2 linked regions of the Drosophila melanogaster genome follow. The protein of the gene in region 1 interacts with the protein of each later gene in a pairwise test. Each region holds a gene or a part of one and is shown in the gene's direction. Other genes may lie near its edges.

Region 1 (5,488 bases):
GCAGGTGGTTGGGGTCTGGAAATGCTGTTGGTTCTGGGTTCTGGATATCGTCTCGGTCATTTGGCGATAAGCGCGTCAGCCTCGCTCAAGGCTGACATATTTTGAAAGAGGATGACGGCAGAGTTTACTTCATTCTGAAGGCACAGCCATACCGCCTGCCAAACGGGATTCCAGCTCATCAACAGCAGCACAAAGATGTGGCATTCCAGATTGGCCCATCGACAAAATAAACGTCAAATTATCAAGCGAACAAGGTACCAAGTGAAATGACCTTGTCAACGCTAAAAACAAATTGGGTTTCTACTTTATTGGGAGTGCAAACAGTATGTCCACAAATTTGCTACGGCATCAGGATGTATAAAAACTTGGTGCTATTCGAAACTAATTTGCAGACTCACTATAAACTCACTAAAACAAACTCCTTTAATAAATAGTTTTCCTAGCAAAGACTGCTGATTCACTTACAACAATAGAATTAAGCCAAATAAGCATCAATCAGCAATGAAATTCATTAGCGGGAAGAGGAGACTCTCGAGCAGGCACAATATGAATGCCTTGGCCAAGATCTCAATTACGGAAACATCTTTGGTTATAACATGTCTACGACATGGTAATATGATTTCAATCATTTCTCGAAACTTGCATGATTAATGCGTTACAGATTTTTGCCCCCAGAAAGCGGCTTCTGTGGGCCTCGTTGCCTTGAAGGAGAGTGAAGACCTCGTCCTGGTGGGCCTCCGAATTGGGTTCATTTTTCATGCACAGGCCGTGGCAGCAGAAACTAAACTTCGAGGCTAAGACTAAGCCCCAATAAGTTGGATGGGCCCAGATGACACCGCAGCATATGGGGCGGATAATTAATCATGGGACGAACGTGCCAGGACGCCCAAAAACTTTTCACCCTTCTCCGGCTCTCCGGGTCTCCGAGTTCCAAGTCCGCGCAGAACTTAACTTAACCGAGCAACATTGAATCGAATCGACCGAGATGTTAAGATGCGAGGACTCATGGCTGGGCAAAGGGAATATCTGATTAGTTGGCCTCTCGAATTTAATTATGGTGACAGGACAGACTCTGCGGCGGCAGCCGGATGCATCCTCGGTCTCCTGCCCTCCACATCCTCCTAGTCCTCCTCCTGCTGCTTCATTCGCCTCTCCTGAATAATTTGTGCAACTCAATTAGGCGTTGACCCCACGATAAAGTTTAATAATTGCAGGTGGTGGACGCCCTTCTTTCGCTCGAACTTTAATTAAAAGAACCGAGCAATTAAAAACGCATCATCAGACAGAGCGCAGCGGCTTGCAGAAAAAATGCAATACATGCTCCCGATTACCACATACCTGTTATGTAGGAAATAGGAAAGGTCAGAATTCATGAAAATTATGCTAAATGTTATGTTAACTCCATTGGGGATTTGATCCATACGTGCTCATATTCTTATTGTACGGTTGTCTCGAATTGTGATGTAATTTCCGTAACACGAAGAGCGCCCTAATAGGGCGTGGCACTTTTTTAATGCACTTAGCAAGTGTTTTTTCGCCACACGCAGAACGCAAAACAGGATCACACAGCCCCGCCCTGAACCGCCTGATCTGGGAAATTCGGGAGCCGGAAAACCGCAAGGAAAACCGCACGTGTAACCGCGCTTGCTCCACCGCGTCGTGTTTGTGGGGCTGCTCCGCTTTGGAGGCAGACTGCGGTGCGACCACGACAGCAATTAACACGGAGGAACCAGCTTCAGATTCAGGTCTTTGGCATTTTCCGGGCATCCGAGTTTTACGACTTTGCATATTCGAATATTACCCAAATAACCGCTGAACTTTTCATTTCTCCACCACTTTTAAACTGGCTTTGTCAGGTGAAAATTTTCAAGCACGTCACTGCAGTGGATTGATTTGCAATCATCAATTTCGATAGAATTTGCGAGGCGCTGCAGCAAAACTTTTATAACCGCGAAATTAAGTGCACAGTTCGAAGGCAGCTGACATTCTCGTTTGAAAAATACCAACTTTCTTCAGAGCAGCGCTGCTAACGCCTATAATCAGTTCACGATTGCACTGGGACCTATCGATATCGATAGACTTAGGCGTGCTCTGCATGTTCGAATGGCCGAGTGGCCATTTTAAAAACTTATAATCTTTCCGAAAGCAACACTTGATATTGTTTATTTCGCTATTTAGGTGCCATTAGCATAAAAAATTTCCAGTTTTCATTATGAAAAAACTTTTCGATAAGTATACCAAATTTCGCAACAGCACTTATCGAAGAGAGCAACACCAGCTGTCAAGCCACTGGAAGTTTCACCTCTGATATTTCCTGTCAAGTCTTTCCCGCAAGAGGTCACACCACGTGCGCTGCCAATTTGGAAATTTTTTTGGAGAAGTTGTCCTCGCAAATCTGTGATCGCAAATCCCTCAGTTGCTGTTTATTCCTCAAGATGGGTAAGAAGCAGAAAATGAAGAAGGCTGCCCAGATGGCGACCGCTGCCGAGAAATTGAAGACCGCTGCCGAGAAATCGAAGACCGCTGCCGACAACGTGGTGGCCAAAGAAAAGCCTGCCGAAGAAGCCTCTCCCTCACCAAGTGGCAGTGGAAAAAAAGGGAAGCCCAAGGCAACGCAAAAACCAAACGTCGCAAAGGCACTTCAGAAGGAGATCTCCAGTTCGGAAGACGCCTTGGATGTCAAGAATAAACCTCCGGCAGGCTTTAGTGGCGCAAAGGGGAAGCCCCACATCATGGGTCAAATGGACCCGGCCTACCGCAACAAGATCAAGAAGCTGATGAGCCTGGCCAAACAGCTGCCGCCCAATGTGTTCAGTCTGCCGAACTCGCAGAAGGAGGAGGGCGCCTCCGCCGCGAAATCCTGCGTAGTTGAGGATGATCAGAGCACGGACTCCGATGACGCCCCGGATCTCGTGGAAGCGGATCCCAAGGAGACCCAACCGGACGAGCAGGGTCAACTCGGTACGGTGGCCGTGCGAACACGTGAGGTATCAAAGCAGTCTCGCGGCGAGCGGAAGGCACGCCGGATCCTCATGAAGCTGGACCTGAAGCCCATGGAGAACGTGGCCCGAGTGACCATGAAGAAGGGCAAGAACATCCTCTTGTACATCGATCAGCCGGACGTCTACAGAGTGGCGCACTCGTCGACGTACATCTTCTTTGGGGAGATCTGCGTGGAGGACACTAGCACCACGTCCGTCGCCTCCCAGGCAGCTGTCAAGGCGGCCGAGCGATTCCGTGGAACCTCGCCTGCCGGGCGGCAAGGTAACGAGGATGGAAAAGCCCCTGGCGAGGAGTCCCCACACGACGACGACGACGACGAGAACGATGGCGAGGACGCGGATGCCATGGGCCTACATGCGAAGGACATCGAACTGGTACAGATGCAGGCCGCGTGCTCGCGCAAAAAGGCGATCCAGGCGCTGCTGAAGAACGACAACGATGTGGTCAATGCCATCATGGCCCTGACTGTGGGTTAAGTCGCTCTGAGTGGCTCCTTTGTATTCAAAGTCATGAAATAAAGAGAATTTCAATAACATCCATGTTCGCCATAGAAATTAATGGTAATTAAATGATTACAATCAAATCGTAAACTTTCATGTTGTTTTTATTTACTATACTTTCATGTAATCCAGACAATCCTTTCGGACTTCACTTCTCCTGGTGGATGGCTTGTTCTACAAGAATGACAATCTCCGGTGCCAATGTAGCTCGTACTATATTAAATGCCGATCATTTCCTGGTTTTTGAAAATGTTTTCGGTCCCAGCAGAAGAATCCCACTGAAGAACCCCTTTGTACAGCGAAATTGCCATCTTATTTCAATTTTCTAATGAATTGACATTTCCACCATTTCCATCTTGGCACAGTGAAAGCATTTTCCGAAGGGCGAAGAACGCATATGCGAACCCGAACCATTTTCATTATACTCGTATTTGCTCTTCCATCAGCGCTAGACTTTGGCAATTTTCCTTTCAGGTACCGTCATTCTTGGACATTTTCTCTGTGGCGGAAACTTAATCGCTTCTTTCTTTGTGCCGCTGACGCTGCACTCTTGTTTACTCTGCACTTAGTTTTTAGCCATTTGGCGAAGTCCCCCGGCACTCGACTTTGCATTTTTTGCTGGCGAATTTTTGACGACGCCGTGATTGCGTTTCAGCTCTTTCAGGGGATTTCAGGGGTACTCCCAGGTGAGACAGGTGACGTCGCTGCTGGTGACGTGGCTACGCAAGTCCTGCTCCGCGGACATTTGACTCAATTAAATGGCTCGACTACGTTCAACGTCCCTTTTCTGGCCCCAAAAGCCACTTAATGACTAGCTCCGGCTCTAACTGAACTTTTTTTAATTTTCAGCTGTCGTCAGCAGCCGTAAAAAAGGCTTTAGTTTTGCATTGTGGGCGCTCAACAGTCCGTGCGGCTGAGCACGTGCCCGCTTTTTCGCCGGAAAAGTGGAAATGGAAACTTTGTAGGTGGGACGCATTCACCTTCTTCGTTCTGTACACTCATATAGTGCGAGTAGAAAGTGCCCGCGCGTGTCGGCTTCGAATGGAAAGTTCTTGGGGCTCCATTCCCTTTCCGTGGAACTTTCTCCGCCGGAAATTGATTAAGTTGGCTCCCTTTAATCAGCGGAATTGAAGATGCTGCCGAAATACAAATCAGTTGACAGTCGGCAGCCGTACTGCGCAATTTACTGCCCAATCCAAATGGTACTTTGAAGTACTTTCCGCGTCGGCAATTTCCACTCCTTGCTGACCAAATCCCGGAGAAAGCGGCAACAACAGCGAAAGTTGTTAAATGCCTAATGACATCATTCGGTCTAGCACTTTCTCGAAATGAACTACTTGTAAAACGGAACGAAACATTGTTTAATATTATAATATTAGGTAGCCATATATTGCTTGGGATAACGGCAGTCATTGTTCCAATTAAATCGTCCGGTTCTGAGCCATTGTATCCACTTGGTCTTAAGAATTTAACATGTTTCTTTTGTGTAGGCTCCAAGGCATTCTTTATCTGAATGCCACCTTGTGTTCCTGTTTTACAAGAATTTTCTTTGACATGAAATGCTCTTGCTTTTCACTGGCTTTTGCCTGCCGCTTATAAACTTTCCCTTTTGGTTTTGCGGCCAACGTTTGGCCTGCTGCCCGTTCGCTTGAGAAGTTTTCCTTTTCGTGGTTATTCATTCGCTTTCAACTTGATTTGGGTTTCACATTTCGGTGCGCATTTCTTGACCAAAATCTGCAGGATTTGTCTTCGCCGTCGTCCTTCCGCCTGTCCGCATCCGTCTGGCCAAGTTGGCCTGCCAAGGGACTCGGGCTTACTTGGGCGCCTCTGGCGCAGTTCATCACTTTGGGCGAGCCGCATATACTGCTGAGCTAATCATGACTCCTCAGCTTCTCTATATTCATCTCCATTTCACTGGAATGCTCTGAGTCCCGCCCAGACCAGGCCCCCCGATCTGGCTTGATGTGTTGGCAAGCTTTTGCCAT
Region 2 (5,222 bases), on another chromosome or scaffold:
CACCGTTGGAGGCGTACTGGGTGCCCACATCCACGGAGGGTGCAGAGTAGCTCACCGATGGGGCGGAGTAGCTGACGGCAGGAGCGGAGTACGACTGCTGGACAGCAGGGGCGGAGTAGCTGACCGATGGAGCGGAGTACGACTGCTGGACAGCAGGGGCGGAGTAGCTGACCGATGGAGCGGAGTACGACTGCTGGACAGCAGGAGCGGAGTAGCTGACCGATGGAGCCGAGTAGCTCACAGAGGGTGCCGAGTAGCTAACAGAGGGGGCGGAGTAGGTCCTCTGGACAGCTGGTGCGGAGTAGGTCCTCTGGACGGCCGGTGCGGAGTAGGTCTGCACAGGAGGCAGGTACTCGTTGCTGGGGGCGACATACGACTGCTGGATGGCTGGAGCGGCGTAGGTCTGCTGCACGGCTGGTGCGGAGTAGCTCACCGAGGGAGCGGCGTACGAGCTCTGGACGGGGGGCAGGTACTCGTTGCTCAGGTGGCTAACATCGGCGGCCACGCAGGCGAACAGGGCGAAGGCAATAAGGAATTTCTGCAAGTAGGACAACACACTTCACACATTACAAACACAGCAAATTTTTTAAGCACCGCAAAAAAAAAAAAAATTTTGTCAAATAATATTGTTAAATCGATGTATCCTTGTTTCAAGCTGAACTTGTAATCCTTCACTGACCATCTTGAGTTGAGGTTTCTGCGTTTTCAAGCGACTGTGCTGGATGAGCTAGAGGCTGCGACTGATGCCGGTCCCTACCAGCCGCCAGTCAATTTATAGCTGCCGGCCGTCTTCGAAGAAAAGCCCCGGTTTTGGAGAGCCCGTTCCAACTGCAGCGGTGGCACACCGGCACTAACGGCAGACGCCGGGCAAGAAGAAGAGCAGGCTTAAGCGGCCAGCGGACCAAGAAGAAGCCGCCGCAAAAGACGTCACCATGAAATCAAGACAAACAAACGGCTGACTGGTGCTGAGGGGCTGAGGGGACATAGCCACATAAGTTGGCAGCTAATTGTGAAAACTGTTAAAAAGTTTAAGTATTTTCAATTAAGAATATGCTTCACTTATAATTGTTTATGTACACCAGACCGTTTGCAATGTTCAATTAAGTAGTAGTGGTAGCACAATGCAAAATAAGTAATAATATAAAAGATTTAGATACTAACATTTGAGCTAATCACCTATTTACAACTTAAAACTGCCGACTTGTTAAATATTTACTTACTTCTTAAAAACTGAGTTTTGAAAAAAAAATGGTAACTTGAAACGTTAACTAGCATAGATCATTGGCAGAGCTTACTTAGTTAGATGGTTTTGGCAATAAAATGGCTAAAATGGCAACACTAATCAGGGCGGAGGTTAAAAAGCATATATAGGGAGGGGGCTGGCTAAACTACCAAACGGAAAATCACATTAAAATTAAATTCAACATAAAAATCGAACGAAATCGCACATGCAAACGGGTTTGGCTCATTTACGATATTATATTTTTTTCCATCCACGCAACGGGTTTGCGGCGGGTGAACTACTTTGGGACACCTTTTTGTGGTCTCTTCAATCTGGCTTATTAGCGTCGGACTCAAGGGGAATGGAGGGAGGGAGGGGGGGGGGGGGGGTTTGTGCCGCACAAAGCCCAAAAAAAAGGGGGAAAAAAACTAAGGGGGTTCCACTAATTAACATTCAATTTAACACATTATACACCGGAGCAACCATTTTTCTTGTTTCAACCGCAGAAATGGGCCGGCGCACAAAAAGAGATCCATTTGGCCTCGTTCGAGACACTCGCCCAGATTGATGGCCCCCACAGAACGTCGTGTTTCGAAAAACGGAGCCCCACTCGCACTTTCTAAAAACCCATAAACACACAAAACCCATCAGTGGAGACCGACAGAAGATGGCCTTGAGAACAGACGCCGGCCGCCAGAGTTACGAGTTCCCCAGCGGTCTTTACATAATAAGTAACAACTTTTACTTGCTGCCACATCTCGAGCGTCTTTCCACTGTCCGTGAACTTGAAATGCAGCACAGCCAGAAATTTACAATTCAATAAATTTTTAGCAAGACCTTTGCAATTTTTGAATTAATATTCAAATCCATCAAACGTATTGATTCTCTTGCAACATTGTAGCATAGAAACATAAAGAGTAATTTTTTAAGATTATCTATGTATCATATTCGCAAGGTGGGTAACCTATTGACGATTTATAGCCCGTTCACATATGATTCGCCTGTGATTCGCCTGTGTCAATAATTAAAATCCATTTTTATATCGATTTCATTTATGATCACGTTGATGAATTATCTTCAAGTGTAAAAAAGGCAGGAAATGTCAAGCATGACGATGCCAAGCAAAATGTGATGGAAATTTCAGAGTTCATTGGTGATAACTTAACTTAACCATGGCCATTCTGAGAACTGCAAACAGTTATCCTTTTCAACAAGAGGTAATTAATGTTGGAAAATAGTAATTAATATTTATATATTAAGTACATTCATATTTCAACTTATAAATAAAATAAAGTTTCGATCTGGAATTGTTAGTATTAATTTTTTAACTTAAAACATACATTTTCCGAAAAAAGAAAATATACACAATAAAAACTATATTTCATAAAAATGATAAAAAAACATGCATAGTTAAAAGTTAATATTTATATGTTTATGTTTAATGCAAAATTGATTACTTGAGGCACGACGTGCGGTCATCTGCACCTAAGAATCGATGTCGACAATATCTACTCTAGATATTTATATATTCGAGTCTAGAGTTCCCATCTGCAAGGACATGACAAAGCTCTGGCAACCCTTTTAGCACGTGTCAAAAACTCAAAAAAAAAAGACGATGACTTTGCAGTCTAAAAGTCACATTTCTGATTTGGCGTGAGGACCTCAGTTGATTCACATCTCCAAGCGAATATTACTTAATATTATATTAATTAATATATTAATTTGTAAAGCACAGCATTTTCAAGGTGAGCATTTCAAGAGAATTCTTTTCCACGCACTTTACCCATACAAGTTAATAGGTTTTCCTAACGAAACAATGGATTTCAAGAAGCTGAAGAAAATGGAGGAGGTGGTGCGCATCGGCGGCAAAGGATCTATGCGCCGCAAGCATAAGAGATTCCCATCCTCGGCTGCGGCCGAGAAGCGCGTGCAAGCCACATTGGCCATGTTGCCGTTGAAGAATATCGACGAAATCGAGGAGGTGACCATCGAGTTCACCAATTCCAGTAAGGTTGTGTTAACCATGCCCAGGGTTCAGAGCACCGCTGGCAATTCTTTCTTCGTGGTTAGTGGCGATTTCGTGCGCAAGTCGTCAACAGCTGGCCCATCGAAAGTGGCCAAGGCAGCCAATGCGCCCAAGGCACCCATGCCACCTAAGCCACCCAAGCCGGAAGCTTTTTCCGACAAAAAGCCAGAATCAGAGGAGTCCATTAAGGTGGCCAAGAAGCCCAAGAAGCCGCGCAATCGTGTTCGTCCTCGCAACAAGAAGGTCCAAATGATGCTCTCCAAAAACAAAGAGGACGCAGCCATGGCTGGCTGGGATTCGGAGCCGAAGCTTAGCAATGGTAAACCAATTTTGATCTCCTCTGAAGATGGCAGCGATCCGGATAATGAGAAGGTGCCATCGGATGAGTCTGATGTGGATCGGACCATAGTCTGCGACAAAGATTCGCTGGGAAGCTTCGGCGATGATTCCGACGGCAAGGAGGACGTTGACACTACGGAGTCGATCTACCTGTCCTCCTACTCCAATTACTATTATTTGACGGAGCAGCTCTATCCAAATACTTATCGCGTTCAGGTCTCAGAGGACGAAGATTAGGCATATTCATTTGTTGCTACATTTGTACCAATTTCAAAAATAAATCGTATGAATTGAGAAAGTTGAGACAGAAAAAGGTTCCATATTCTATAGATTTGTACTTTAATCTCTTGGTGTTTATTGAAAGCATTGGTTTTCTCTACACTTATGGAAATTTTAATGATCTATAGTTCCAAAATAAAAAAAAGTTATAAATTTAAGATTATATTAGACTCTGTGGCTCTCAGTTATTTGTCTTAGTAAATATAGCCGCCGTTCGACGCGTACTGGGTCTCCTGGACGGATTTGGAGTAGCTGGCCTGCAAATGGGCAGGAGTAATGGTGTCGGCACCAATGGCCACGGGCACATGGGTATCGGGATTGAACTCCTCGATGCCATTCGATGTGGGTTCCTCGTACAGATGGGCAGGTGTGATCGTGTTCGCTCCAATGACGACTGGGGTTTGTCCCTGGACATAGGCGGCGATGGGTTGGGCGCTCTGGTAGGAACTGCTAGACGATCCGGCCACGATTGTCTTGGCCTGGCTATTAACGTAGCTCGTCTGGGAAACGGCGGATTGATAGGAACTGGAATCTGCCCCAGAAATAGCAGAGGCAGCGGTTGAGGCTACAACCGACTTTTTGAGTTGAGCTGGAGTGTATTCAGCGGGCTGGTAAGAGCTCGAATCTCCTCCGGGAACAGCCGCTCCCTGCTCTTGCTCTTGCTCCTGAATGTACTTGTAGTGGGCCTCTTGAACGTCCTGGGGAATGAACTTTTCAGGGGTGTAGGTATCAGCACCAATAGCAGCCGGAACTGGGGCATAGGTATCAGCACCAATAGCCGCCGGAACAGAAGCCTTAAGATGAGCTGGAGTGTATTCAGCGGGTTGGTAGGAGCTGGAATCACCACCAGGAACCACCTCAGCGGCCTTCAAGTGCTCGGGAGTGTATTCAGCGGGCTGATAAGAGCTGGAATCTCCTCCGGGAACAGCAGCTCCCTGCTCCTGCTCCTGATTGTACTTGTAGTGGGCCTCTTGAACGTCCTGGGGAATGAACTTCTCAGGGGTGTAGGTATCAGCACCAATAGCAGCCGGAACTGGGGCATAGGTATCAGCACCAATAGCCGCCGGAACAGCAGCCTTAAGATGAGCTGGAGTGTATTCAGCGGGTTGGTAGGAGCTGGAATCGCCACCAGGAACCACTTTGGCATCGACAGTGGCAGAAGAGGTCTGCTTAAGATAAGCAGGAGTGTATTCAGCGGGCTGGTAAGAGCTGGAATCTCCTCCGGGAACAGCAGCTCCCTGCTCCTGCTCCTGATTGTACTTGTAGTGGGCCTCTTGAACGTCCTGGGGAATGAACTTCTCAGGGGTGTAGGTATCAGCACCAATAGCAGCCGGAACTGGGGCATAGGTATCAGCA

What was found.
Region 2: the proteins of gNacalpha (region 1) and betaNACtes1 interact in a two-hybrid assay, tested with the Drosophila melanogaster proteins (one large-scale study listed by BioGRID).

Annotation. Positions count from the first base shown.
Region 1 is NT_033779.5:1,034,944-1,040,431, forward strand, and holds gNacalpha (germinal nascent polypeptide-associated complex alpha subunit), read left to right. Parts: upstream 1-2,302; 5' UTR 2,303-2,435; coding exon 2,436-3,479; 3' UTR 3,480-3,563; exon of another isoform or gene 3,564-3,590; intron 3,591-3,635; 3' UTR 3,636-3,742; downstream 3,743-5,488.
Region 2 is NC_004354.4:14,170,287-14,175,508, reverse strand, and holds betaNACtes1 (Nascent-associated complex beta-subunit-like, testis 1), read left to right. Parts: upstream 1-2,884; 5' UTR 2,885-2,967; intron 2,968-3,021; 5' UTR 3,022-3,038; coding exon 3,039-3,824; 3' UTR 3,825-4,022; downstream 4,023-5,222. Other genes in the region: CG1368 (uncharacterized protein), read right to left, coding at 1-538, 680-682; CG12480 (uncharacterized protein), read right to left, coding at 4,061-5,222.